Cricetulus griseus: one gene and its partners. The main gene of each other region encodes a partner of the protein of the gene in region 4 in a complex. Links are inferred from orthologs where the notes say so. Each region holds a gene or a part of one and is shown on either strand. Other genes may lie near its edges.

Region 1 (5,822 bases), on a different chromosome or scaffold from region 4:
CTTTTTTGATTGCGACTCTTAATTTTGAATATAAGGTGATAGGTAGGCGCAGCTTTCTTGGATAATCTGAATTCCCAAGTGCCAGGAGTAGGATTTCATTATAAAATTAATAGCTAATCTTATTCTGTCTCCTGAAGATTTAATTGCTATCCTTGTTACCCATTCAAAATCAGCTGTACTGTGTGAATGAAATAAAGACATTACGACGAACCCCTTTCTGGCTGCACGGTCGCTTATGGCAGTTCCACACAGTAGTTGGCGCCCAATGGGGGGTCCCTGAGACTTGCATGTAAAACTAGTCTAGATGTCTTCTTTTTTTGTAAGTTTTATTTTTGTAACTGTGCATGTAAAGCATCATTGACTCAATGGATCTGTTGAAGAACTCAGCTGCTGGAAACCATGCAAAATGTTTTGAATTGCCCTTAAAATATGGAAAATGTTTTCTGAATGCTTTATATTCTTTCTGCTGTAAATTAAAAATGAAGAAAATTTCCCCATATTATCTGTGTTTTGCTTTAACCTGACCTGAAATCCAGGGTGTTGAGGTTGAGATCATAGTTAGAACTGGAAGTTTTGTTTGTTTTTTTTTTACCTTCCACATGATGTGTTTTCCTGCCCAGTGTTTCACTTAGAGCCACTTTCCCAAAGGACATGCTTTCCACCTACACTGCCTGGTTTCTCAACACATCAATCATTTGTCTTAAGTGCAGTTACTTGAAAGATAAGTAAGGATCTTACTGTGAATTCACCTTTTCTCGTGTACCCTGGGTACTCCTAAGTTCCCTGTTTAAGCTCAAGGATGACCTTGAACCTCTGACCGTTTACCTACAACTTCCAAATGCTGAGATTATGGGTGCCAACAGGCTGGGGTTGTTTGTTTGTTTGCTAGTTTGTTCTTTCCAGACAAGGTTTCTCTGTGTAACAGCTCTGGCTGTTCTGAAACTCAATCTGTAGACCAGGCTGGCAGGGAACTCGCCGAGATACACCTCAGGCTGGGTTTTATGTGGTTCTGGGGATCAAACCCAGGACTTTCATGTGGGACAAGCCCAATACCAACTAGGCTATACTCCTCAGCTCTACCGAGTAGTTGTTTTTCGTTTTTTTTTGTTTTAAGCCCTTTTCCGGCTTAGCTCACTTAGGTCTCCCTTCTAGGTACTTTATCATTATTCCGGTCCTCTTCTCTGCAGAGTTCTGCTCGTCTCTCTAGGAGTGCCTCACTAGATGTACCTCAGAACTAGTGCCAGACGTTTTCACACTGAGTCTCCCAAGAGGAGTCCCTGGTACTTTCTGGAGCCCGCTGCATTTAAATGCCTTTGTCTTGCCTGTCTTCACTCTTGTTGTACTTGAGCCCAGCCCCACATTCTCTAGTTCTGTGCTGCACCTCCACTTAACCTAGAACGCGCCCCCCACCCCCCGGCCCCAGCTACCACTCAACCCAATACCCACTCAGGTGGCACGCTCTGCTTTCCAGCACACGTTAACTTTCTGGAATTACCATCCTGGAGTGGAAGACAGCTTGGGGGTTTTCACTTAGGAACCCACCAGCTGCCCTCATCTGGTCTGCTTAAGCATGTTGGATTGCATTGTAGCGGATACTACTCACCTCATTCGACCAAAAGTCCGGGGCCAGAGAGTTACAGAAACCAAGAGAGTTCTCAACGTCAAGGATCCCTTCAGGGATGGTGGTATCCGTGCAACGGCAGACACCTGTCACCGCTAGTGAGAACACGGGGGTGGGGGCTCCAAACGGGCTTCCTCCCGCCCCTTACTTACCTTCCTGGCGGAGGCACTTGGGTTGTGTCCCCAGGACCACTAGGCTACTCTGGGGCGTTAGCACGCACGCCGTTTCTAATGTCGTCACCACCCAGAGACGACGTAAGCAGGCCCAGAGGGCTGTGCAGCGCACCGGTTCTTACTCTAACCTGCCTTTCCAGGGTAGAGACAGGGCAGCGGCCGCGACACCCGACACCGACGAAGCTGCTGCTGCTGCTGCTGCTGCTGCGACGCCCGGGCGGCGAGGAGCCGGTCCAAAGGCGCAGGCGCCGCGCCCTGGCCCCGCCCACTTGTCCATCGAGAACGCCCGCCCAATCCAGCACCGGCGCTGCTGCCGCGCCCAGCTCTGGCCCCGCCCACTCGGGTGGGCCAGGGAGGAGACGGCCAGAGCGCGGCGCCTGGGGCCTGACTCCTGCCCCGCCCACTTCCGGCGCGCCCTCCGCGGCGGCGGGCTCCTCGTCGGTTCCTGCCCGGCCCCTGCTCGTGACGTCACCGCGGCCCCGCCCATCTCCACGGCCTCGGCCGCCGGCTGCCCCAGTCCGCCGCCGGTCTCCGCCGGTCTCCGCCGTCTCCGCCGGTCTCCGCCAGTCTCCACCGCCGCCGCCGCCGCCGCCGCCAAAATGTGAGTGACGCGCTGCGCCGCGCGGCCAGGCGGGCTCCGGGGGGCGGCGGCCGCCACGTCTGACGAGGGTCCCGCCCGGGACGCGGCCGCTCGGGACTCGCACTCGGGTGGAGGCCTCGCGGGCCTGCGCGCAGCGCCCTGGGCCTGAGGTGGGCGGCGGCCCCGCGCCGCGCTCTGCCCTCGGGCGCCGCGCTCTGCCCTCGGGCGCTGCGGGCCCAGGCGTCCTGCCGCGACGTCCCCGAGTGCTCCGCGGCTGGCGGGCCGACGCGGAAGGGCGAGGGTGGGGCACCGGCTTCCAGAGGAAGCGTCCGCCACGCCCCGAGCTTCCTTCCCCGAGGTCCCCGAGAGGGGCGGGGGCGGCCCTGGGCGCTCGCCCGCCGGCTCGCCCGCTCGCTCTCCCGGTCTCTGTCGGCGCCGCGCCGTGCCCAGGCCCAGGCGGTGTCCGCGGAAGCGCTGCCGCGCCCCCCGCGGAGCTCGGCCGTGGGTTTCGCTTCCGCCTTAAGCAAGGAACTCTGTTGTTTTGAAGTTGGTGTCTAGTGGTGACGTTCGCAGGACTCTGGTGACACCGCTTAAGATGCACCCGGTCGGACTGCTGTGCGAATGGCAGGGCCCCAGAGCCGGTCAGAGAATTAAGCTGCACCTGGCTACACCCCAGCCGGCTGGCTGCGTGCTGGTTCTGAATGTTACCGAGGTGAAGGTAATAGTGCCCTCTTCAAGGGGGTGTTCGGACTCAGAGAGAAGCCAGACAGCCGTGAGAAGTGTCGCGTCCTGCTGACAGACACGGTGCAGACTGTCGTGTGGCGAGGCACACCTTAGGTGCTGGCTTAGATACAGGGAAGAGTGAGTCGTTACGGAAAGTGGGCATGGGTGAATAAAGCATTCGGTGAGCCTGTGGAGGATGAATGGCTTTCCAGCAGAGAGAGAATTGCTTTCAGCCCGCCTTTCCATTCACACACACCCCACCATGCACTTGGGCTCTACATCTCCATTTTGGCTATTTTGTGATTGTTTCCAACTATAAGACAGTTCTTGCCACAACAAAAGGATCAGAAGAATACTGAGTGCCCTTAAACGTTTGTGTGTCTTTTAAGAGGTTTTTGGTTTTTTGGGTTTTGTTTTTATTACATAAATACAGTTACCTGCATGTGCCCCTGCAGGCCACAAGAGGGCACCAGATCTCACTACAGATGGTTGTGAGCTGCCTTGTGGTGGCTGGGAATTGAACTCAGGTCCTCTGGAAGGACAGCCAGTGTGCTTAACCTCTGAGTCATCTCTGCAGGCCCTAAAGCAAGCTGAAAGAGAGAGAGAGAGAGAGAGAGAGAGAGAGAGAGAGAGAGAGAGAGAGAGAGAGAGAGAGAGAGAGAGAGAGAGAGAGAGAGAGAGAGAGAGAAAGTAGAGGTATTATCCAGTCTTGGGATCATGCACTTCATTGACACAACAAAAGTTTCAAAGTTTGGTCACTGGAACAGTCTTGGGAATTATTGAGGGATCATAAAAAAACTGCATTGGTGCCTTTATTTCTTACTGCAGGACTGTTTTTACTTTTGTTTTTTAATTTCAGTATAAGGAATTAGTAAGTCCAAGTCCCAGCGTGAACAGGTTATACACACACACATACACACACACACACCATGGTATATGTTCGAGGACAGTTTCAGAGATCCTTGCCTCTCACCTTATTTGAGACAGTGTCTCTTGTTCAGTACTGTGTGTGTCAGGCTAGCTGGCCCTCAAGTGCCCAAAACTGTCATGTCTCCTCTCACTGAAGGAGCACTGGGGTTACATATTTGCCTTACCAAGTCTGGCTTATGTAAGTGCATTGGATATCATAATAGACTCATGTTTGTGCCTTACATCTTTCAGGTCCACAGGTGTGCCTTCAGGAAGTTCAAGTGCTGCTGCTGGCAGTAATCGAAGACTCCAGCAGACACAAAATCAAGTCGATGAGGTACTGCTCTAAAATTCTAAACTGTGGAATTTAAACAAACCCGGGTATTCTGTGGGATTCTATCAGAAAAAGCCACTGGAGCTGGAGAGATGACTCAGTGGTTAGAACACTTTCTGTTCTAGCAGAGGCTCCAGTTTGGGTTCCAAGTACATACTTGGGCCATTCAACTGCCTTTAACTCTGGCCTCCAAAGGCACCTGTGTGCATCTGTGCGTGCGCACACACAAACCCTTAACAATTTTTAATGTTAGAAAAAGAAAAAACATCAATGTGTGAGTATAATTTTGACTACATCAGAAGTCTTTCTAATTGTGTGTTTAGAGGACTTCAGTGAAGATTCTGTGAGAAATTCAGATCAGTTTTCCATATTTTTTTCATATTCTTTTTTTTAAGCTTTTTTTTTATATGAATGAGTGTTTTGATTGCATGTTCTAGAAGCTGTGTTTTAAGCACAAGGCAAACTCTTCCTGGTTTCACTTTTCTATTATCAAATCACATACCTAAAACATGTGAACCTGTCCCTGAAAGCATGTCCCCAGAGCCCCAGAGCCACTTCGTAAGATAGGGTAATCAGATTGTTTAAGCCAGGAACAAGTCTTTCTGATCGGGTGGGATATGTGTCTGTGTCTGTGTTCTGTAGCCAGGTTTACTAGTTACCTAGTATGGGCAAGTCTCCGTAGAGCTTTCTCTAGCAGTTGCTGAAGGACACATAGAAAGTGGAACTTCTGTAGCCCAGTAGTTCTCTCTGGATTCTTGACCTAGAGGACTCTTCTGGCATCTTTTGTTTGGGTGTGCACATGTAGAAACACAGTGAAGACTGTCAGAACCTTCAACTGATATTCCTGTGTTCTCTTTTTTTTCTCCATTTTTTTATTTAAATTAGAAACAAGATTATTTTATATGTCACTCCCAGTTCCCTTTCCTTCCCCTCTCCCCTGCCCCCCCCCCCCACTAACACCCTAGATCAGTACTTATCCCTAGTATAGGAATGGACTTTGGGAGCCCATTCCACATAGAGGGATACTCCTTGAGCCTAGACACACTGGAGAGGTCCTAGGCCCTGTCCCAAAGGATATGACAGACTCTAAAGACCCCCTATGGAAGGCCTCACCCTCCCTGGGGAGCATAAAGCCTATGTTCTGTTTTTTAAATAACAAATGTTTTTATTTCTCCAGTAACTTTAAAAATGTGAATATCCTGTGATTTAGCCACAGGCTTTACTTCTAAGTAGCTTCTTCACTGGGCCTCAGTTCCCTTTGAAAGCTCATACTCTTACTCCAGAAGGCATTAGCTTTTCGTCATCCCTTCTGTCTAGATAGCATCCCAAGAAAAATCCCACAGGGACAAGTATAGGAACCTAGTGGTAATGTACAAGCTGAAGTAAGGTCACCATGACTGCTGCAGCCCAGTGCCAAACACCACCCCAGAACCAAAGGCAGGGGTAGGAACTTTTTTTTTTTTTTTTTTTTTTTTAGGATGT
Region 2 (5,972 bases), on a different chromosome or scaffold from region 4:
TTGGGGAGGAAAGTTTTCAGTCCGACCTCTAGCAAGATGAGGCCAGAGGTTTCAGGCAGGAATTGGGGGGATTCTATTTTGTCCTACTCCTCCCCAAGGCAGTGATGACACACACACACTGGAGCCACCCCTCCTCAAAGAATCAGATTGTGGTCAATCCCCAATTCTCCTGGTGGGAGGAGGAGGCAAATCAGGCAGATGGGAGGGAGGGAGACCCCCTGGGAATGTCAGTTGAGTGCCCCACATGAAAACTGGGGAGCAGGAATGTAGGGAGAGACTCCGAGTGGCAGAATTATTGGTCCATCATGACACACTGAACTCCAAGACACTTACACACCGGCTGGGGGGAGGGAGAGGAGGGTACAACAGGTTTGGAAAATGGGGTAAAGGAGGTAAACTAGACTAGAGGGGCTGGGAGGGGGCAATTCTGGGGCCCAGAGCCTGGTTCCCCAAAAGCCCAGGCTCCCCACCACCTGCAGGTAATGTCGTGCAAATGAAGTGTGATTAGAGGACCAATGGAGACTAACTCTTCAGAAAAGAAAGGAAAAACAGAAGAGTAAAGAGTGGTGGAACAGAAAGGAAACTAAAAGGACATTATGCAAGTGATAAGCTAATTAATATATTGGAAGCTCCCAGAAAACCTTGGGATTCTGGGATTCTTAGGACCAAGTGGGACCAGTCTCAGAGCTTTCCAAGGGATTCAAAGATGCAACCTAGGGAAGCCTGGACAGGTAGGAGTGTTTGTTTGTTTCTGTGGAGTTTGCTTTTTGTCTTGGGAGGGTCAGGAATTGTTTAGGGAAGCTAGGGGAAGGGTCAGTTAAATCCAAGGGAAGAAAAGGGGCTATTGCATAGCAGATGCAAATGAAGGGACTTAGGGCTATCAGGAGAAGAGGAAAAGGGACAGAGGATGAGAGAGAGAGAGGTGAGGGGAACCTCAGGAAGGGGTGTTAAGGACAACCGGAAAAAATCTTCTAGTAATAAAACTACAAACAGACCAAATATATATAATATTATATATGTATAAATAACAGCTGGCTATTTACAGGGGGCACACACACGGACACACACACACACGGATCCAAGGGAGGGGGGCTGAAAGATATGGCTGAGAGGTGGAGGAACGGCTGGGGGTGGGAGAGAGGCCCTTCTTAGGCAGGGCAGACTCCTCAGGGATTTAAGTGCTGAAGTAAACTGTGGAGAGAGGGTAAGAGGAGGACGAGGGAGAGGGGTAGAAAGAGAAAGAAAGCAGCGTGTCAGGCCTGGCCCTGTTCCAAACCTCCCCACTCCCCCACTGTCTGACATCCCTTCCCCTCTCTGTCTCATTTCTTCATCTATATAGCAAAGGGACTTGATAAGTGGGTATTAAGATCCTGTAAACTCCATGATAGGACAAAGGGGCACAAAACTTTTAATCTACTGGGCATGTGACTACAAATGCTCAAATAGTGAAATAGTTGGTTTCCTGGTGGTGTCCGAGCCCCTCAACCCTTACTGTCTCCTGCTCCCCAGTTCTAGTAGCCCAGACTGGGCTCTGAGGCCCAAATGGTTCTTAGTAGAGTGCCGGGGGTCCCACCCAGTATTCCTATTTTCAAAATCTTAACAGAAATTATCCAGAACTAGGCAAAGTAAGGCTAGACAAGAGCCAAGTGCTTTGGCTCTTGATGAATCAGAATTGCCAATAGCAGCAAAATGTGTTTTTGTTGAAGAGTAAAAACTAGGTTAATGACCTTCAAAACCCAGAATCCACAGGGAAAGCCTCTACCTCTCCCGGGAAAGGGCCCTGGCCACTCCTGCCCCACTCACCGATGATGATGATGAGGATGATGGCGCAAATCACTCCCAAGATTATCATCATCTAGGAGTGAGAGGGAGGGTCCATGAGACCAATGGTGACACCCCAGTCACCCACTGGCCCTCCTACCTGTCCCCATCTCCGTCCCCCTTACCTTGAGGTTTTTCCACCAATATTTGCGCTTGAGCTTGGCTGCACTTGTTTCAAACTGGGAGGCCCCTGCCTGGAGGGCATCTGCACGATCATCCAGCTCGGACAGCTTCTGGTCCCGCTCCAGGACCTTGTCCACATTCACCCTCATGATGTCCACCACCTGGGGGAGGGGTCCACGAGGCAGGGGGTGTGCCAAGGCACGCCTCAAGGAGGGCACTTCTTGAACACGTGCCCATGTGCCACACATGGAACATGCACCCCGATGTTTCCAGGCTAACATGCCAAGGACATACAAAGAACATGCCTAGCACACCTGGGGACATGCAAGGAGCACACATCAGGGGCATGCTGCAGCCATACACCTCAGCTACCACAGCAACACCCTCATCTTTGACCAGAGCGCACCTGCCCCAGCTGGCACACCCCAAGCTAGCACAACTGATTATCACCCCACAGCCCTTCCAAGTGCATGCTGACAGGGAAACGGAGCTGGGACAAGGCAGGGCTCTGACCCAAAACCCACAAGCGTGAAAACTGTCATCACCTTCAAGCCAAGATGGGCTCCCACACCTATTTGCCAGTCCCATCATCTTACACTTTTGACACACTCACCTCATCCACCTGGGCCTGGGTCTGCTGCAGTCTCCTGTTACTGGTAAGATTTGGAGGGGGTGCAGGGGGGCCACCCTCGCCGGCCGGGGCGGCAGGCGGGACGGTGGCAGCGGTAGCCGACCTACGGAGGAGAAACGGATTAAGATTCAGGGCCTTTGGGCCCTGCGGCCGGGGCTCCACCCATCCACCTGTCCATCCATAGTCCCTCCAGTCCTCCCTTGCGGGAGGAAAGCCACCCGATGGGAAACCCAGCCATTCTACGGCCCCGCTGCGGTTGAGCTGCGTGACCTTGAGAGACCCTCCTTATGCCTCAATTTCCCCGCCGGTTAAAGGAAAGCGACCTCAGAGATGCTGCCCGGGGTCGACCCGAAATGACTGACAGCCATGGTGGCTGGGGCGGGGCGGGTAGACGCTGGGTCCGCTCCCTCCTGCGGCCATCGCCCGTGCCAGACCGCCCGGGACCGGTTCCGGGCGTCCAAGCGCAGTCACGGACACCAGCCCGGTCCGCGGCACGAGAGGCGCGGGCGGGACCCCCGTGTTTCCCGGCCCACTCCTCGGGGTGGCGGCCCGCGCGGGGCAGAAGGTAGAGGGTGGCGAGTGGCGGGCGGGCGGCCGACTTACATGGCGGGGGCAGCGGGCAGAGACTTGGCAGAGGCAGTGATGGCGGCGGCGGCGGCGGCGGCGGCGGCGCGCGGCGGCTCGCACTGGCTCCGACTGGCGCTGGCTGCCCGGGACTGGAAGATGGCGGCCGCACGTCACCCGCATCCGGGCACTGCGGCGGGGGCGGGGCGCGGCAGGCGACACGTCGCTAGCGGACCGCGGGGCGGGGCGCTGCAGGGGCTGGGGTCGTCTAGTCGGCTCTGTCGACCCTACGATGTGGGCCTGGCCCGCAAGCCCACCGCCATCCCCCAAGGCATCTGCCACCTGCCTCTTTTGGTACCCACAACCGAGACCCACACCTCACCCCTAAACTACACCCTCCCTCATCCCTGAAGCTGATACACCGGTCCTTACCTCACACAGCCTAAGGTCTCGCCCTACAACTGGTCCCAACACCTGGTGACCCGCCCTTAGCTCCTGGAAAGGGTGGATTTCCCTCAGAGTGGAAAATGAGAAGCGGCCAGGGCAATACTGACAACTGGAATCCTGACGCTGGGGTTGGGGAGTTGTGAGAACTGACCTCACCCATCATCATCACCCTGCAACTGAATGGCTCAAGGGAGGTCTCGGGCCTCTGATTTCCTAGCAGGGTATGAGCAAAAGGAGTAACAGAAGACAACCCCCCCGACCCCCCCCACACACACGCATACACACACACACACACACACACACACACACACACACACACACATGCACAAACATACACACACTAAGAACTGTGAAAGCTGCCCCTCCTCACAGATAAAGTTCAGACCAGGTGTCCTTGGAGGGGGCCCCACAAAGATGAGACAAACTAAAGACTCCAGGAAGGGCAAAGGCTGCCTGGAGGTGCTGTGCCTCCTGGTAAGCGCAGGCTGGTCCCCGACTGGGGTCAACTGCCCAGCCTTGACAGAACCAACTGAATACATCACACATGTAGACAGTCAATAAATATTTGCTCAATGGCTTGATCTAGACAATAGAATAGGAGATTATCTTAGACCTGGTCCATCCCTGACTGCTCCATTTTAAGTACGCTAAACAGCCACAGCAGCTGCACACACTCCCATCCTACATCTAGAGATAGGACCAGGGAGCCAGCTGTCTATTTAGCAAGCCTCCGGGGTGAAGGAGGCACTTTAGGGGAGGACTAGTGACTCTGAGGTGGGAGTATTTATTACATCCCCAAAAGAGCCTTAATCTCAAAGACAGGCAGGGTCTGGCGTCCTTCCTCCCACTCCAGGGCCTCCGGGGTGTGAGATCCTCCTGTGCTGCAGCAGTGCCCCACCCCCTCTCAGCAGCCGCCCCAGGACCGGTTGTGTCGTGAGAGGTGTTATTTCCCAGCTGTCTGGGGGAGGTGAATGAGCAGGGGAGTGTGTGCTGGGGCCGGATTCGCTCTTGGCTGCCTCCCTCTCCCAGGAGAAGCCATGAGCCTGCTCTTCGTGAGGCTGAGCTGGTGAGAAGAGCCGCTTCGGTGGGGGGGTCTCAGATCAGCCGTGAGGCTCTAGTTTTCTGTCCCTGAGACCCCCTTTCTAATCAGAGAACAAAGATGCCAAATTCCATTATTTCAAGTTTAAATGTTTTAGTGTCTAGATAGGAAACATCCTCGAGAGTGGGAAAAGAGCAACTGTAAGCAGAGCCCCCCACACAGCCCAGCTCTGCCTCGACTGGAAAGGAAACAGTAAGATCTCAGACTCTGGTTTAGGGACGATACTCATGTTGTCTAGCCAATTGCAAAGGGCAGAGGTTATGGAAGAGACAAGAGTCACAGACAAACCTGGGGAGGTTAGGCCTAGTCATATCCCTGGGAAAGTTGTTCTTCCCAGGGGATTCTGGGGACAGCAATAGCAGAGTTAACAGTGGAAAGGACCCAGTAGGACTCAGAGAGAGAACTGTCACTGTACAGCCCAGCCCAGCCCATCTCCACTGCGGTGTTAAGAAATTCTAAATTTAGATCAATGCTGGGGGTGGGAGGAGGCTGCGGTGGAACGACCCGGTTCACCTGGAAATGTGTAGAGAATGTTTTCTGCAAACAGTACGACTGAGACTCAGACTTGAGCCGAAGCACAGGCAGTATTTGGATAACGGAGAGCCTTAATCTCAAAGGGTCTCGTCTACATTTGCCTGCTTCAGGGGATTGACAGTTGAGTTGCTAGGCCCAGTTCTTGAAGCTCTTTTTATGCTTAGTGGTGCATGTTCATAACCCCTGCGCTTGACGGTAAAGTAGGAGAATTCAGAGTTTAAGATGGGTCTGCCAAATGAGATACTGTCTCAAAACAAGCGAAAGACTGGGGCTTGGAGAGATGATGGTTCAGTGGTTAAGCTGCCACGTGGTGGTGGTGGTGGCACATGCCTTTAACCCCAGAATTCCGAAGGCAGATCTCTCTGAGTTCAAGACCAGCCTGCCTCTGCCTCCCAAGTCCTGGGATTAAAGGCATGGACCAACACCGCCTGGCCCAAGGTTTACTCCTAAGAAGCTCCTTCAGGGTTCTGATGTAGGCCATACAGAGGTCACACTTTAATAAAAGCTTGCTTCCATTGTCATCCTCTTCACAGCGTTTTAAGTTGGGGCTGAAGGGGGCTGGATCATTCCCACACTGACTCATGAACTCCTTCCATCCTCATGAGTCAAACCTTGAGAAACCAGTGATTAATTTCTGGGACCTTATTGTTTGTCCTCTCAATACAGCTCTCATCAACTTTTAGATTGTTTCCAATTTCTTGCTATTACAAGCTGTACCCTTATGAATGTTGATAGCATTTGACACACTGATAC
Region 3 (5,180 bases), on a different chromosome or scaffold from region 4:
GTTCTTTTTTATTTTCCAATAACAGATCTAATACTGCAATTTTGTTTCAAAATGTTAACTAGTATTTTCATTGTGTCTATGTCAATATCAAGGTTCACATCACAAATACTCTACAAAAACCTAAGTTTTAAATCAGTAGAAAGTATGTTTCATGCATAGGGAAGGGATATATTAAAATGGTATCCAAGTATATACAGATTTAAAGTACTAATTCTTTTCAATGTGTTTATGCCAGTTTACTATACCACCCAATATACAGTCACACAGTCAATTACCTCACACAGTCAATAGTCCCAATGGAATTTAACAAATGCACCTAGTAATTTTATTTATTTTATTTAAAAATCTATCAATGCTAATATTTGTGATAAGTCTGAGAAGTAAATATTAGATAACTAAAAAGAAGAAAGAATAACATTCCAAAAATAACACACCTTAGAAACACATAGTGGTGAAATGAGCAGGGCCGTTCCAATGTCCTTAACCTGTTCACAGCTTCCAAGAACCAAGCTGCTCAAAGCACTCAGGGACTTTTTTCTGCCTGCCCAGGACTAACTCAAACTATCATTAAAAGTTTTTCTTTAGCTTAATTCTTATGTATCCTTTTACCTTTAACACAGGAAAAACTAATTCATTAACTAGAAAATTAAAAATAATATCCACAGAGTTTTCATGCTTGTGTATTATTTTTCTGCCGGAAGCCATTGAATTAAATGTTAAAATTCTGATTTGAAATTTCTTTTGTTGGTAGTTGGTAGAGATAAGCAGCCACTGAACACTGTGCCAACAGCAGTGTTTTGATGGAAGTGTATTTATACCAAGGAAATTGCTCCTGGCCACACTTTAGACAATTGTTTATTTGCTTTATTGGATTTTTTCTTTTAAAATGTCCTATTAAAAAGGCCTCAAAACCAAACATGACTTTTTCCTTTGTATCCTTTTTTTAATTTACACAGTTTTAACTGAACAACTTGAAGACATTTAAATTTCTCAGGATATAAATCTGTTGAGTTTTTCTATGTAACATTGAAGTGGTAATGAATAAAATTGTTATAAAGATTAAAAGAAATAATGTGGATAAAGTCATAGCACAGTGGTTGGACCATAATAAGCAGATTTTTTAATAATCCAAAATATGTTCCATGAGATTTGCTCATTATACCAACAATGAACTGAGTGAATTCTGAGGATAGTGTTTCTTAGGTAAACTTGCTAAATTTAAAATATTGCACTTCTCTATTCAATAGTAAAATTTAATGTGAACATTATATTCAAATCCATTTATTAAAAATAGATATACCTTTGCATTAGTATTGCCTCTTCCACGGATGTACAAAATAGCTAGAGTAAGGTTTTTTGTTTTTGTTTTTTTGGCTTTTTTTTGGTTTTTCGAGACAGGGTTTCTCTGTGTAGCTTTGGAGCCTATCCTGGCACACGCTCTGGAGACCAGGCTGGCCTCGAACTCACAGAGATCCACCTGCCTCTGCCTCCCAAGTGCTGGGATTAAAGGCGCACGCCACCAATGCCCGGCTCCTAGAGTAAGGTTTTTTTTCTATGTCTATCTAAAGGTGGTAGGAAATTTGAGGAAAATTCTAGTAATTATATTTCAGTAATTATATATTATATTATTCAATATTATATATGTTAATCTTCACTTAGATCAACTAAAAGCAAATACAGCAGTCAATAATGCCTTATTATAATTAGTAATTATATTATAGATTACAATATTCAAATATTATATGTGCTCAAATTAATCTTCACATTAGATCAACTAAAAGCAAATACAGCAGTCGTTAATGTTGAAGATACGAAGGTTGCATACTGAAACTTTTTCAGTGGTTTGAAATTACCCTCTAGTTGCACTCTTTCAGACTCCTTCCTGTGACCCCATGTTCCTCTCTTTAACTTTTTTTTTGATTAAATAATGTTCCTCTGCTCTTACCAACTATTTTCTTTGTGTGAACTTGTCAAATCATCTCAGTCTTATCTTTTGTAATTTACAAGGCCTTTATGTAGCTCTCTGAGAGACTATCACAAAAGTCCGACTGGGAGAATAATTTATGAGATTTCCAATGAAGGCCCATTATTAACATTGTCTTCCTGCATTCGCAAATGGCCTCCCATTCATGCATGGCAGGATTTTAACTCAGTCGTCAGAGACAGAAGTGTCTGAGTGAAGTCTTACAAATAATATCATTGGTTACATACGCTTGCAGTGGCTTTGGCTTTTTTAAAAAAAGCATGGACTGTTCAAGTAGGTTAAAGAAGACTAGGAAAACATGTCTTAGGATATGTACTCATCTCTACTGTTCACACAAGTATTTCTGTGGCTATAAACATGGTATCAAATGTGGTAAATTTATATGTCCTGGGTTATTATCTAATATTCAATAATATGCAAAGTGAATGTTCTTCACTACAAAGCTAGATGAAGAGAGAGCATGCAAGAGTGGGTTTTCTGTTTTGAAGAGAGGTTAGTTTTAAGTGTTTTTACTTTACCAGAGTACTCCTGACTTGTGTTCAACAATCATTGGCACTAATGATGTTTATGCGGCTCAAGGAAAATTATGCTTTTTCTTACTATTTCAGTGCCCAATGTCTTTTTCTTATTATAACAGATAAATCTAATTACTTCTGATGAATTTGAAGAGCTGTTATTTGAATCATGAATAATTCCATTCCAGACAAAGTTAGAGCTCAGATATGCCCATGAAACCTAGCTTTTTATCAGCCAGTTGGATGCTAAGTAAGGAAATATTTTAGCTCCTAGCAGTTGGACAACTATAATAGAAAACTCCTTGTGTGTATTTTTTGGTATATACTTTGTTACATTAAACAGAGCCTTTAAATCAACCTCTTCTATTATCTAGAACTTATCACTTTCTCCTCTCCATCCCCTGTGTGTTCTCACTGAGCACTGTTCATAGTGTCTATCTTTCTTTTGATATCCCTCTTTGTATATTTCATCTTGCCTAAAGTTTCTTGACATCACTGAATCCTACACCTTGAATATAAAGAAATGATAGCTACCAGTACTTGAGTTCCTACTGTGTGCTGGATGCCATTGTAAGCTATTTTAGTCTGTTGACTTTAATCAGCCAAAGGAAATGGGTGCTACTATATTCTTAACTTGCTAGAGAAGAAATCAGAAGAGATCAGTAAGCAATCAGGGCAGTCACGTAACCTCTACCTAGCCAAGCCCTATACATCTCTCCATGAACTACTCTCAAGGCACCAAATACTCATTCCTTGCCTATGGTTATACTTTTTACATTTGGTTTTTCTGTTTGTGTGATTAACTTCTGCCCCTTCTACCATGCCACAACATATTAAAATAGCAGCTAGTATTTGCTTGATGAATAATTACAGTTGACATGAATTAAGCTTGTATCATGCTGGTCAATGCATCTTAGTACTTAATTCTCACAAGACTCACTAAGGTACTTACCACTTTTACCTCTACTGAACAGATAAAGAAATAGACAAAGAGAGGATTTGCCGAAGATAACAGAGCTAGTAAAGGATGAGACCAGTGTTCGCACTCAGAAAACTGGCTGGAGAGTTATGCTCTGCATAAAGGAAAAAATGAATTAATGGAAAATTAACTTAGTGCGCAAGGGAGAGGTGATATGTGATGTAGACAGAGGTACAACAGTCCAGGCACAGGCCACAGAGGCGATAAAACCCATGGAACAAAGCACGGAGGACATCCAACCATAGGGATGGTTGTCTGCTGCATTGGGTTAACCAGTTCTATTGCTAATGTTCTTTTATCTTTTCTCTTTCAGTGCCACCGTGGGCCTTAATTGCCATAGCCATAGTTGCAGTCCTATTAGTCGTGACCTGCTGCTTTTGTGTCTGTAAGAAATGTTTGTTCAAAAAGAAAAACAAGAAGAAGGGAAAGGAAAAGGGAGGGAAGAATGCCATTAACATGAAAGACGTCAAAGACTTAGGGAAGACCATGAAAGATCAGGTAATGAACACACCCCTTATTTACCTAGTTACAATCTTCAGTTAAGTCACCAGTTAGGGCTCTGTTCTGTTATGCCAGATGCCCATGGAAATGAACAACGTGTGACTACTGTTGCTTTTGTAGAGATGCTTGTTAGTCCTTTCAGTCTCCCAAAGTGTAGTGGGGAGCAGTACAGTGGGATTTTGTCTGTCTCTTGATCACACACACACACACACACACACACACACACACACACACACACACACACACACACGGTAGAACTCTACACTAGCAGGTGTGGCTTCATGGGCTTGGCATAATAAGATAATTCCTGAGTGGGTCATGATCCTAATTAGTCTTAATAATAAAAAACCCAAAGTCAGATATCAAGATAGTGGGGTAAAAGCTGAAATATCAGAGAAGGACCAACCACAATCACCTCTTACAACTCTGATTCCTCAGATCAAAAGGGCAGAGCTTCTGTCTATGCCCCACCTTATCACGTCCTGTCTCAGTCCCGTGTTGTCACATCTGTCTTCTCTCTTATAGACCTCCAGACCTCTATGGTTAACTAGTGGCTAGTTCCACCCTCCAGTCTCCAGGAAAGCTTTATTTGTCAGAGCATAAACAAAATATCGTAACACTTGAGCAATTTTTATTCCATCTCATTAGCTAACCTTGATTGGAATTTAAAAAAAAAAAAAAAACTGTAATACAAGGTACCTGAGTGCTTTCCCTCCTGGACAGGGGCCCTTTCTGACTCATCCACTGCCCATGATCTCTTAAATAGCTTCATCATACTCGGTAATTACCAATATTGCCACACACTCAGCCAGCTTAGCCATCAATTGCCAGAAATAATGAGTTGTGTATGGTGAAGGGAGATAGGATCCAGTCCTAAAGGATAAGACAGAATTGAAGGACAAAATTATATTTTCTCAATTAATGACCATAATTAGAACCATGATGCTGTTGATAAACTATGTACTCAAGGTGTCTTTCTGTGCTTAGAGGAAATATTTTTATTGCCTTGATGTTGCTGCCTATTTTTAACTAAATTAGCTGGACAGCTTAGTCAAGGTAAACTTAATATAAAGTATTAAATGTTTCTTCACTTTTAGAATAATACTTAAATGCTTATAAAGAAAATTTAATGCATGAAAGGGAATGTAAAGATTTTTTCATAGAAATATTTGTAGTTATTATTTCCCATCAGATAATTTAA
Region 4 (5,180 bases):
TCTTAATGTGTCAAACAGGCCCACAAACACAACTCAGCACAGTAAAGTTAATATTGTAGCCCGACCACCTGGAAAGAATAGTTCTAGGTGGGTTTTTTTGTTTGGTTGGTTGGTTTTTTGTTTTTTGTTTTTTTTTTTTTTATCAGATTCAGCCATTAGATTTTTTTCCCTTGCAGTCAAACCTTTGCCAGCAAAGCTGGAAATCCACAGCAGGATGCACCTTTCATGGGTGTGTTCACTTTAATCTTTCAATTACCTAACTCATATGTCCAACACTTCAAGGTCAGTTCACAGACATGCATTACCTCCTAATTCCCAGAGCCACCAGGGATAAGGCTTCCGAAATCTTGTCAGAGTCATGATTTTTGCAAAAACAAAGTATATATTCCTTGCTTTCTAACTGAAGAGAAATGCATCAGGAATGTGCATTGCTGCCAGTGTTTGTGCCCTGTGGTGAATTTGCCCTTTGAGCCCAGGTACCTCCTTAAATTCATCCTAACACAGCACTCTTTATGCTATCAGCAATTCTTTGATTTGAACCAACATCCTTCTTTCTATCTGTATGCATGATGGTTCTTCATTTAATGACACGTTGATAAAAGCATGAACCGTGTCAACCAAGACATATAGGACATATAGGAGGCCAAGAAAAAATTTAAAGGTTTCAATAAAACACTGTGTCCTTTCCATTCCACCCTAGTCCTCTCACTCAGGTATTACATTTGATTCACCAACTGGTTTATTACGTTCTTAAAAGGAAACTGGAGTTAGGTCATTAGTTTAAAAAAAAATCAAGCTTGGCATGGTTGTTCTTACAATCGTGGACTTAGGATGCTGGGATCCATAGGAAAATCCTGTGTCAAAAAGTCAAACAAGCCAGGAAGAGAAGAAGGCAGCAGAATGGAAAGTTCCCTCAAATATGAGGAAGACGGGAGGAAAGTCTTCTTGCATGTAAAGATTTCCAGGACATTCCTGTCTCTGTGCACTCAACAGAAGAATGGCACCACTGTCTCTCCATGCTGAATAAACACTGCAGTGTTTCTATCAGTTTCTGAAAAACATAGCAGAAGCAGCAGAGACCTAATCAGTGACCATTTCTTCTTTAGTCCTGCCAAAGAGAGCAAACATAATCTTTTATTATCCAGATTTGTGCTTTCCCTACTTGAGTCACTGGTGAGCCTCGTTTAGATCTTACAGTGACAGTTTTCACATCATACACTTATGTGAAATGGTTTTCAGGTGATTGTGTAGGCCTTTAGGCTAGAAATGTGCTCATGAGTTTTACCCTAGGCATGTATGCCTTTACTTCTAGAGGCACAATCATCAATGCATGCATGAAAATACAGACAAAAGGAGGAGCAGGATGTAACTGGGCATTATAATTAGACAGCCAAGACATCATATTACACTTCTCCTTTAATGGTCTTAAAAGCTACTTGACAAATCCCCTTCATTAAACTTGCAGTTACCCTAACTTGATGACACATTTGAGAAATTAGTCAATTTGGTTTATGTAACCCTGGCAACCAAGAACTGATTCATTTTTATGAGTATCGAGCTGTGTTTCAGATGCACTAAACTCATCTTTCCTTGTAGCAATGGCTCAGTGCCATTCTGTGTGCCAATTCACTGCCCCTCCTCCAAAGAGACACACGTTCTCCTTGTTCAATGACCAGGTTAGTAGTTGGCAGGTCCACACCATAGACACTAGGCAGCCAGAGCAGAAGAATAAAATGTCTTTCCCAGCTTTTGCAGCAAGTCACTCACAGGGTAAGAAATGAATTGAAATGTTTTGGTACTTACAGTATTGTTGTTCTGATGTTGCCTTCTTTTCCAGCCTCTATGAATTAAATAAGGAAAACCAAGAACACACCTTTGGCTACTTCTAGCTGTACAGCCACTGCCGAGGGAAGAGCAGAAACTCATAACCATGTCTATTCCTGCTTACGGTTCTGTTGTTTGCCACCAAGAAGAAAACACACTCTATTTTCTCCTTTTATCTGGTTGGGGGCACATAACAGTCAAAAGATACAGATATTTTGAAATTGGAGCAGATAATCTTTCTCAAAGTGTTGAATGGGAGCACCTTAGCTATAAATTAACACCCTGTTTTTCTTTCTCTTGGGTTTCACTGGTGTCTTAGTCAATACACTGCAACTTCCCTGGATATACAAAATCAAACAGACTTTCTGATCTCATCCCATCATGTCTGAACTGCAAACTATTTTGAGCATTGTTCTTGTTCATTTCCTTCCACCCATGTCTATTTAGGACAGCAGCAGCCGTCTACAGCAATGCATCCTCTTGGGCAATGCATTGTAATCTCAATCTCTCTCTCTCTCTCTCTCTCTCTCTCTCTCTCTCTCTCTCTCTCTCTCTGTCTCTCTCTCTGTCTCTCTCTCTGTCTCTCTCTCTCCTTCTCCCCCTCTCTCCCTCTCTCTCTTTCTCTCTAATTCTGTTTCACATAGTCATTTCTCATGTTCTGTTGGAAACCCCAAAAAAATTCATTCCACACTATCATCCCTTTGTCCTAACCAGAACAACTCGATCGTGTCGAAGAAGGCATGAACCATATCAACCAAGACATGAAGGAGGCTGAGAAAAATTTAAAAGATTTAGGGAAATGCTGTGGCCTTTTCATATGTCCTTGTAACAAGTAGGTACTGGGTACCAGCTCTAATCTGTGGCGTCCAGTTTTCTTTCTTTCTTTCTTTTTCTTTTCTTTTTTGTTTTTCTTTTTAATGTCAAAGTGAATGTCTGAAGTTTTGTCTTTTTTTTCTTTGTCCTTTTCCATCTGCTTCATTCTGTGGGGATAAAATACTTGTGTTTAATCAGAACAACTGGAACGCATTGAGGAAGGGATGGACCAAATCAATAAGGACATGAAAGAAGCAGAAAAGAATTTGACGGACCTAGGAAAATTCTGCGGGCTTTGTGTGTGTCCCTGTAACAAGTAGGTGCTGCCTGCCTGCCTGAAGCTTTGGTTTTCCCAAGGCTCATCTCCAAGCCTTGACTAGCTCATTCCTGCAGGCTCATAGGCAGGATGAGCATGTGGCATGCAGAACAGATCAATACCGTCTCCAATGCATTCATCTCATAGCATAGATAATACTAGTGGGAATTACTGTTGATGCATTAAAAATCAGGCATACTACAGTGGAAGCCTCACTGTCGGCAATTTTTATTGATGAACGTTTCAACATTTTCCAGAAAGTGTACTTTGAGACAGAGGCACTTGGGGCACATTGTTTTCCTCAATCCCACAATGAAAATTGTAGATTTAGACAAGTCTTTTGGTAAGTGTGGAGGATTAGAAATGCATGTATCAAGGTTTCATTTTTTTTCCTTTCTCGGAAGTAAAAGAGACAGGCTAATTTGGCCCAGGTAAGCCTCTGCAAGTCAGAGCATGTGGCAGATTCCCTCTTGACTGCTCACCAGCTTCAGCACTTGGTCACGAGGTGCTATAGCCTCACCCAGTGCAAAGGCATCCTCATCTGTAAGAAGCAGCAGTCCCATCCTAAATTGGACCCATCTCCTCTAACTCTTCCTCTTGGAAGATCTGCCCGTACACTGGCTGAAATGTTGAAATGTGTAGATTTTGCATGCACGACATCTCCAAACATTTAACTGTTCTCAAGGTTCTGCAACGCTTTTTTGGAATGTAGCAGAAATGTGACATGTGGTTACAAAGATTTGCAACAGAAAGAACCCAAAAACTCAAGGGTTCTAGAAGATAGTCTCATTTGGCTGGCTAGCAGTGGGGGGAAAATGCATGAGTGGATTGCCCAACATGCATTTGGAAAATTAAACTCATTACCTGATCTCCCTCACCCTTCCCCCTTTCCCTTTTAAAAGAAGCCTTTTACCCAAAAGCTCTCCTGATCCTAGCTTTTAGAATAGAAATTGATGTCATTTTGAGTAGATTATGTGACCATTCACATCCTTTAAACTTTGAGGCTGATTTGAAATATCCCACTTCCTGTTTAGGAGGGGGAGGGGCTCATGGTACTAATAAATAAAAACCAAGTTAAAAAAAATCAAAAAGAGTGCTCTACGGTAAAGCCTGGCTAACTGGAATCCAGCTAACTGGAACCCTCAGCTGCAAAACACTTTTGCCCCCTTTCTGTTTTTAGCCAAAGAAAAGTGGGACGGGGAAGGGAGGGCAGTCAGAGCAGGTTTGAAATGTCTTGTTTTCCAGGACATCTAGCTCATTTGCAGTGTCTCAAGCAGTCTCTATTCTACTATCTCTACCTATGGAGAAATAAATAAGTGGTAAATTAGAGCTGGTTTGAAAAGGCCATCAGATATATCAATATAAGGCATAACTGTAGGAGGACTGGATTGTGCCCATACCCAAAGACTCTGAACAGAAAATTTGCTTAAGAATTTGAGAAAGATATTTACTAGTTACCCTTGAAACATAATTTTCCTCCAGAGTCTACTGTTCACTGGTAAAACCATAAAATTCTCCAAACTCTCACTCATGGGCAAGTATTCCAGTTAGTCAAGATTTGACTGTAAGCCCTTTTCAGAGCCAACTTACCCCACATTTGGAGCAAATGGCAACAGATGCACCTCCCACCCCCTCCATCAATTGTGTGTGAAGAAAGGGTGAAGGCAGGGCTCCTTGAGGTGGATCCTCAGGTTCTGAAGAAGTATGACCCCTACTAAATCCATGTATAAGTGGTCCCCAATTCCTTAATTCTAAAGAGACCCTAATTGAGCTTCAAAGCTTGAGTGAAGTGTTCCCTGATGTGTGTAAATAATGCTTTAAAAACCATGTGTCACAACGCAGTGGCTGGTGGTGCCCTGGACTCTCCGGGGGCTTTGCCCTGTCTCGGCATGTTTCGAAGGACTATGGTAGATGTACGGCCGTGATGTGAGTGTGTGCAGCGTTGTGGGTGCAGTGGTTTGCCTTCTCTTTGGAAACGCATATTTCCCTTTCCTTTGACTTTGCCAAAGATGGTATACCAGACATTTTACATAGCAGAAAACATCACAAAGTCCAAACAGCTTCTTATAACCAAAAAGAGAGAGAATGGGGAGGTGGGGTGGAGAGACCAACTCTCTTAACTATGAAAATTTGTGTTCTGGCCTTGTACCATTCATGGAGTGGGCCCATGCCCTGTGATGCAGTAAGTTGTGACAGTAAATTGTGGGAGCTGTTGAAATTCATTGGT
Region 5 (5,180 bases), on a different chromosome or scaffold from region 4:
CCCAGCCCACAGGCCAGGCCCAGAGTGTGCCCTGAAGTCCCCTCTCCAGCATCAGGGATCCACAGCATGAGGCCAGTGGGATGCTTTGCCCCCTAAGTTGGGGGTATATGTATAGGGAGGTACGGTCTTTGTGAGGGAAGGAGGCAGGGAGGGCACCTACCAGGCCCCCAGATGAGATCTGTTGGGGCAGCCCATCACCTGATCTCAGAGTATGGCTTCCACTGTTGGCAAGGTACAGTTTTGGAGCTCAGGGAGGAGCTTTCTGGACATTGGGGGGGGGGGTGCAGAGTTTCAAGGTAGACTCAGTTATTGCCACATCCTGTGAGTGCAGTTCCCAAAGTCCAGCACTCCAGGGATGGTTATTTAACCACAGGTTGCTTTTCTGTCCCTCCCCATGTTCAAAACAGAAGTCTGTCCCCTGCTCAAACTATTTGGAGTTCTTAGAAATAATATGGAAGTCTAGCATTGGTATCCCAGCACTCCTGATGGTGGGGTAGGAGGGTCAGGATTCAAGTCCCTCCTAGGCTACATTGGAAATTTGAGATCATTCTGCAATAAAAAAGAGCCTTCCTCAGAAAACCAAAACACTACTGTAACAATGATGACTACTGCTACTGTTACTGATGATCTGACAGGGTTAGCCTGGCATTTGTCCCTAGGCCCACAAGGTGATCACAATCATCAGATAACTGTGGAGCAAAGCCTTTGCAGGCTTTGTGTGTCCTGCTGTGCTCAGGAGAGTGGACAGGTGGGACCTCCCATAGCTTGGAGGCTCCCACTCAGCTGGGACTGGAGGAGCATGCAAAGTAGTGCCTTAGCTGAGGTGGTATTGGAGCACCACCCACAGCAGGGAAAACCCTGCTGCCTCCCCTTAGCCAGTCTAGGGGAGGTCTGAGCAAAATGGTGTGGAGCCCATGGCTGCCTCGGGCATTAGCACTGTCTGCGCGGACTCTGGCTCTTGCTGTCCTCGTCCTGTTTCCCTTTCTAGCAAGGACTCAGACATAGCAGGGGTGCACCTGAGAGCTTTGGGGAGTTGTGGAGGACAGAAATGGGCTAGGAAAGGGAGCAAGTGGGAAGTGTCACATGGGTTGATCTCACCTGTGCCTTCCCAGAGCACATCCCTTCCCCCCCCCCCAATCGCCCCATCCCCACCTTTAGTTCAGGTTCTGGGCTTCCCTGTTCAAAGAGCCCAAGAGCCTGGGTGTCATGTCTCATGTATTTGCAGCCCTCAGCTCTCTGTCTGTCTTTCCTTCCTCTCTGTGGAAGTGGTGGCTCTGGAGGTGCCGGCAGAGGGGGGGGGGACATGGGTTTGGCACTGTGTTTACCTGGCTGTTTCTGTGCCCCTGGGCTCAGGCTTCCCCCGAGGCTGCTTCCTGACGTCCTCACTCTACCAGGTGCATACCACCAGGAAGCTCTGTGAGGGGTTCAGGCTGCTTTTGGGCTGGAGTGGGCTGATCTTGGCCTCTACCTGTATTCTAATTGTGAGCCTAATGTGCCTCTCTGGGCAGTGACTGCAACTGCATTGAAGCTGGGACGATCTGTTCTATTCCAGCTGCCGGGAACGCTTTCTGCCAGGCTGCCCAGCTGCACCTACAGCTCCAGAGCAAGCATGATGCAGCTACCTGCTTCGTGGACGCAGGCAACGCTTTCAAGAAAGCCGACCCACAAGGTAACCTCTGTGAGCCACAGCTGGCAGAGCAGCTGAGCACTGTCCCCACATCCTTGGGTCTATACAGAGCTGGGTTTTTCCAGTAGTTGACACATGATAGGCCAGGAGCAAAACAAGCCCCAAATTCAGAATTGGCTGGTCCTTGGCTGACATTGGCATCCTGCCCTCTCTCCCCACCCCCCACCCCCACCCTGGTGTGCAGCCCTCACCCCCTCCTGGGCTTCGAGCATTTGGTAGTGGGAGTTCCATCTCAGGCCCACTCCTTGCCAGGGAGCCAGGCAAAGCTGTTCAGTTGTCAGAATTAGCATGCAGAAGGAAGCAGGGAGCAGGGAGGGGGGCAGTCCCAGATGAACCAGGTAGAGCGGAAGTCAGCCTGACCTGCCTTCCCAGCACACCAGAAGGAAGCAGAGAGAGCAAGCCTGGAGTGAGCTGCCAGAGCCCAGTTCCTTAAAGCAGAGCCTATGACATAGGAGCCTGGTTAGGCCAAAGCACAGCCCATGGACCTCAGACTTGAGATTTCCAGGCTGAGGAATTTGCTTTTGGTATTTTTGTTCACTTATTTTTGTGGTGCTGGGAATGGAGCCTGGACCTCTGTGTGCTGCAAATGTGTTGTACATGTCCCCAGTTCTTTTTGGTTCTTTTTGAAAATGGTTCTTTTTGAAAATCTTAGAGCTACATAGATGACTAACTTTAAATTTCAGCACGCACAGGTATTTGTTTGTTTGTTTGTTTGTTTGTTTAATTGGCCATCTAAGCTAGTCATGGCAGTGCCTGCCTGTCGTCCCAGAGTTTGGGAAGTAGGGACAGGAAGATCAGACACTCAGCTATCCTTAGCTCTTGGCTACATAGTGAGTTTGAGGCCAGCCTGGGTTACATGAGACTGTGTCTCATAAATAAATCTTTAAAGTATCCAGGCTGTTTCTCTCAGGAGAGTGGGAAAGAAGTGACTGTTCTTTCCCAAAGGAGAGGCTTGGGGTCTGGGTGAAAGCCCACCTCTGAGGAGAAGAGAAGACAAGCACCTCGGTCCTCCCCAGCATCAGTGGATGTCAGCCGTCATTGTCACAGGACCACTCCCAATTAGAGAGATGACTGTGGTGACTCTGTCCCTGGGCTGACTGGTCACTCCTGTTTGTTTAGCTATGATGTGTGGCTCAGGCCTGACAAACAGAGAGGGACGGATGGCCTTTCAGCCAGGACTTAGATACACCCAGTGACTCAGGGCAGTCCTCTCCCCCACAGAGCCGTCCCCACACTTTCCCTTCTGCTCCCTGGGGAACTGGTTGGCCTGGAGATGCTGCCTGGCATCTGTGCCCTTCAGCTGCTGCTCCAGCCGGAATGGCCGGGAGGACTTGTTCCTAGGTGGCAGTGGATGCCAACCTGCAGGATGCCATAGCTGCCCCTCCCAGCTTGTGGTCATGTCCTTTTTCTCTCGGGACCCAGGCATGGGCCCCGGCCTCAGCAAGTCCAAGCTGATGGGAAAGTATTGAGGGTGCTGCAGCCAAGGGTGTGAGTGAAGGTAGAGAGGGGCCGACTTGCCTCACGGGGAAAGCACAGTTGTGAGGGGAGCGCTTCTGGTGTTAAGGGCTAGGGACTCAGCCACGTGGCATCCAGCGCTGCTGCCTTGCTGCCCTGCCCAGTCACAGTTCCACATATGAGGGGAAGGGGGTGCATTTGCACGGTTGACAGCTCTTCTGCGGGGCCAGTCAGGGCTCACAGAGAAGAGTGACCAAGCAGGGGAGGACATGCCCAGGTGGTCTGAGCAGATCACTCCCCCTCCTCCAAGGAACCCAGTGGGGACTTGTGCTGCCCCACTACACTTCAGCCTAGCCGTCACTCTGCTGTGTTCTCTCTTCAGTGATAGCACACACCTACTGTGAGCTGTACACAGCAATTCATTCCTGGCATCCAGAAGGGGGCAGCCCCTGGCACCAGAGCCTCCCTGCATGGCTGGGTGCCCTGGGAAACAACTGGATGACCAGTGGAGGCTTGAACCCCCAGTTTCTTCAGGAAGGACCTCCCTTAGCTAGCTGTGAGATCCCCTGCCCTGGGGTCTGGTCCATCAGCTCTTTAGGAATCTCGCCTGAGCTGCTTGCCTGAGGCCTGGGAATGTGACCCTTTTAGAGCAGGAGCTCTAAATGAGCTGTGAATGTGCACGGGCAGGGAAGCAGTCTGGCTTCCTATCTACCTATCCCCACCGCCTCATTGGAGCTCGTGGTTTGTCCCTAGTTTGTTGTGGACGGTGCTTGCTTAGATCTGCATGTGATCAGGGGCTTCAGGGTGATGCGGAGGTGAGCCGGGCTCTGTAACTCCCTACCTGCTCTGGACAGGCTGAGCACAAGAGGGTGGGAATAGACCAAGGGCCCTACTATTTACCTTCAAGGTTTCACTGAGGCCTGTGGCATCAGATAAGCCCTGTGGTAAGAGCAGGCCCGGGTGTCAGCTGGCAGCCTACTACTTTCCAAGCTGTTCCCAGAGCAAGGGGCCAGCATAAGAGGACTAGGCCCTGTGAATCCATGTTTCTCCCCCACTGCCGTGGCAGGGACTGTCCCACCAATAGAGCCTATGCCAACAGACCTTGGCTACCGAAGTCTCCTCAAGAAGTAGCCTTAGCATCCTCATCCCAAGAGAGTCCAGTCCACTCTCAGCCCGGGGGCAGTCCTGGAGCCTTCCCAGCACAAGCCCTCTGGCCCACCTGGACCCTCAACCCCGTGCCTCCCCCAACCCCCATCCTGAGATACATTAAAGTAGTTAAAAGATACTGAGAGCTCGTTTCCATCTGCTAGAAAATGCCTCCCACTCACGCCTCTCTCCTCCAAATAACTTGTCCAAAAAAAAAGCCTTCCCCAAATTTAAAATCTTGGAAGAGATGGTACAACAAAGGTAGCCTGGTGCCATCCTAGTGTTGGATACAGCTTGTTATTTGAGCAGCCAGCAGGGTCCCTGCTGTGTGGTTGAGGGCATTGAGGAAAGGACAGTGCTCTTCAGCACTGGGGATGCAGAGCCCCCATGGAGGGGCCCTAGTGCTCGTGGCATCCATCCTTCTCTGCCAGAGAGGCCAGGCAGGGCAGTCACAAGGATAGGACCTACTCAAGGTAGAGCCTCCAGGACAGATGGTGGGCTTGGTAGCCTCTGCCCAGTTCAGCCTGGCCATCCATCAGTTTGCCCTTTGACAGCAGGGCTGTGGTAGTCTGATTCAAACTCTGGGGGAGTCTGGCGATGCCATTGTGCCCTGATCCCACTGGAAAGCTGGAAGTATGGCTCAGGTTGCCTGGGGCCTAGGGCTCCCATCCTCTCCTTCCGGTTGCTCTGAGAGAGCCCAAGAGGCCTGAAGCCAAGGCAGCTGCGTGTCTGGCATCTCCCTTGGGGAGCACAGGCTACCTCCTGTCTCCAGGATCTGCTGTAATGACCTCTCCATCCTCATCTTCTCTTTCCTCCCTAGAGGCCATTAACTGTCTGATGAGAGCAATCGAGATCTATACAGACATGGTAAGGGTTGCTTGCTGGTCCTGTC

Evidence for each region.
Region 1: the proteins of Snap25 (region 4) and Vamp3 are in contact, whole or in part, in a crystal structure (PDB 5KJ8), measured with the Rattus norvegicus proteins. The link is inferred for Cricetulus griseus from reciprocal best matches to the Homo sapiens genes SNAP25 and VAMP3. Residues at the interface, in NP_112253.1 of Rattus norvegicus: Asp147, Leu150, Glu151, Val153, Ser154, Ile157, Leu160, Arg161, Ala164, Leu165, Met167, Gly168, Ile171, Asp172, Gln174, Asn175, Ile178, Asp179, Ile181, Met182, Ala185, Asp186, Asn188, Lys189, Ile192, Ala195, Asn196, Ala199, Thr200, Met202; in NP_476438.1 of Rattus norvegicus: Ser15, Arg18, Leu19, Gln21, Thr22, Gln25, Val26, Glu28, Val29, Ile32, Met33, Asn36, Lys39, Val40, Glu42, Arg43, Lys46, Leu47, Glu49, Leu50, Arg53, Ala56, Leu57, Gly60, Ala61, Gln63, Phe64, Ser67, Leu71, Lys74.
Region 2: the proteins of Snap25 (region 4) and Vamp2 are in contact, whole or in part, in a crystal structure (PDB 1SFC), measured with the Rattus norvegicus proteins. The link is inferred for Cricetulus griseus from reciprocal best matches to the Homo sapiens genes SNAP25 and VAMP2. Residues at the interface, in NP_112253.1 of Rattus norvegicus: Gly131, Gly132, Phe133, Ile134, Arg135, Arg136, Asn139, Leu150, Glu151, Ser154, Ile157, Gly158, Leu160, Arg161, Ala164, Leu165, Met167, Gly168, Ile171, Asp172, Gln174, Asn175, Ile178, Asp179, Ile181, Met182, Ala185, Asp186, Asn188, Lys189; in NP_036795.1 of Rattus norvegicus: Asn25, Thr27, Ser28, Asn29, Arg30, Arg31, Leu32, Thr35, Gln38, Val39, Glu41, Val42, Ile45, Met46, Asn49, Lys52, Val53, Glu55, Arg56, Lys59, Leu60, Glu62, Leu63, Arg66, Ala69, Leu70, Gly73, Ala74, Gln76, Phe77.
Region 3: the proteins of Snap25 (region 4) and Syt1 are in contact, whole or in part, in a crystal structure (PDB 5KJ8), measured with the Rattus norvegicus proteins. The link is inferred for Cricetulus griseus from reciprocal best matches to the Homo sapiens genes SNAP25 and SYT1. Residues at the interface, in NP_112253.1 of Rattus norvegicus: Lys40, Asp41, Ile44, Leu47, Val48, Asp51, Glu52, Glu55, Gln56, Arg59; in NP_001028852.2 of Rattus norvegicus: Cys277, Arg281, Lys288, Val292, Leu294, Glu295, Asn336, Tyr338, Asn340, Arg398, Arg399, Pro400, Ala402, Trp404.
Region 5: the proteins of Snap25 (region 4) and Napa are in contact, whole or in part, in a cryo-EM structure (PDB 6MDM), measured with the Rattus norvegicus proteins. The link is inferred for Cricetulus griseus from reciprocal best matches to the Homo sapiens genes SNAP25 and NAPA. Residues at the interface, in NP_112253.1 of Rattus norvegicus: Glu37, Lys40, Asp41, Ile44, Arg45, Leu47, Asp51, Glu52, Glu55, Gln56, Arg59, Glu62, Gln152, Asn159, Met163, Asp166, Glu170, Thr173; in NP_542152.1 of Rattus norvegicus: Lys122, Glu155, Glu156, Ser157, Asn158, Ser159, Ser160, Asn162, Pro196, Leu197, Leu198, Tyr200, Ser201, Lys203, Asp204, Ala234, Phe235, Ser236, Arg239, Ser268, Ile269, Ser270.

The regions. Positions count from the first base shown.
Region 1 is NC_048595.1:5,345,482-5,351,303, forward strand, and holds the start of Vamp3 (vesicle-associated membrane protein 3), read left to right. Parts: upstream 1-2,200; 5' UTR 2,201-2,393; coding exon 2,394-2,395; intron 2,396-4,258; coding exon 4,259-4,343; intron 4,344-5,822. UniProt on the Homo sapiens protein: SNARE involved in vesicular transport from the late endosomes to the trans-Golgi network.
Region 2 is NC_048600.1:82,959,023-82,964,994, reverse strand, and holds the start of Vamp2 (vesicle-associated membrane protein 2), read right to left. Parts: upstream 3,324-5,972; 5' UTR 3,181-3,323; coding exon 3,179-3,180; intron 2,679-3,178; coding exon 2,558-2,678; intron 2,106-2,557; coding exon 1,947-2,105; intron 1,856-1,946; coding exon 1,804-1,855; intron 1,192-1,803; coding exon 1,175-1,191; 3' UTR 341-1,174; coding exon of another isoform or gene 330-340; 3' UTR 1-329. UniProt on the Homo sapiens protein: Involved in the targeting and/or fusion of transport vesicles to their target membrane. Major SNARE protein of synaptic vesicles which mediates fusion of synaptic vesicles to release neurotransmitters.
Region 3 is NW_023276806.1:146,593,321-146,598,500, forward strand, and holds part of Syt1 (synaptotagmin-1), read left to right. Parts: intron 1-3,791; coding exon 3,792-3,976; intron 3,977-5,180. UniProt on the Homo sapiens protein: Calcium sensor that participates in triggering neurotransmitter release at the synapse. May have a regulatory role in the membrane interactions during trafficking of synaptic vesicles at the active zone of the synapse.
Region 4 is NC_048599.1:41,889,977-41,895,156, reverse strand, and holds part of Snap25 (synaptosomal-associated protein 25), read left to right. Parts: intron 1-2,538; coding exon 2,539-2,656; intron 2,657-2,835; coding exon of another isoform or gene 2,836-2,953; intron 2,954-5,180.
Region 5 is NC_048602.1:10,771,527-10,776,706, forward strand, and holds part of Napa (alpha-soluble NSF attachment protein), read left to right. Parts: intron 1-1,552; coding exon 1,553-1,669; intron 1,670-5,108; coding exon 5,109-5,155; intron 5,156-5,180. UniProt on the Homo sapiens protein: Required for vesicular transport between the endoplasmic reticulum and the Golgi apparatus. Together with GNA12 promotes CDH5 localization to plasma membrane.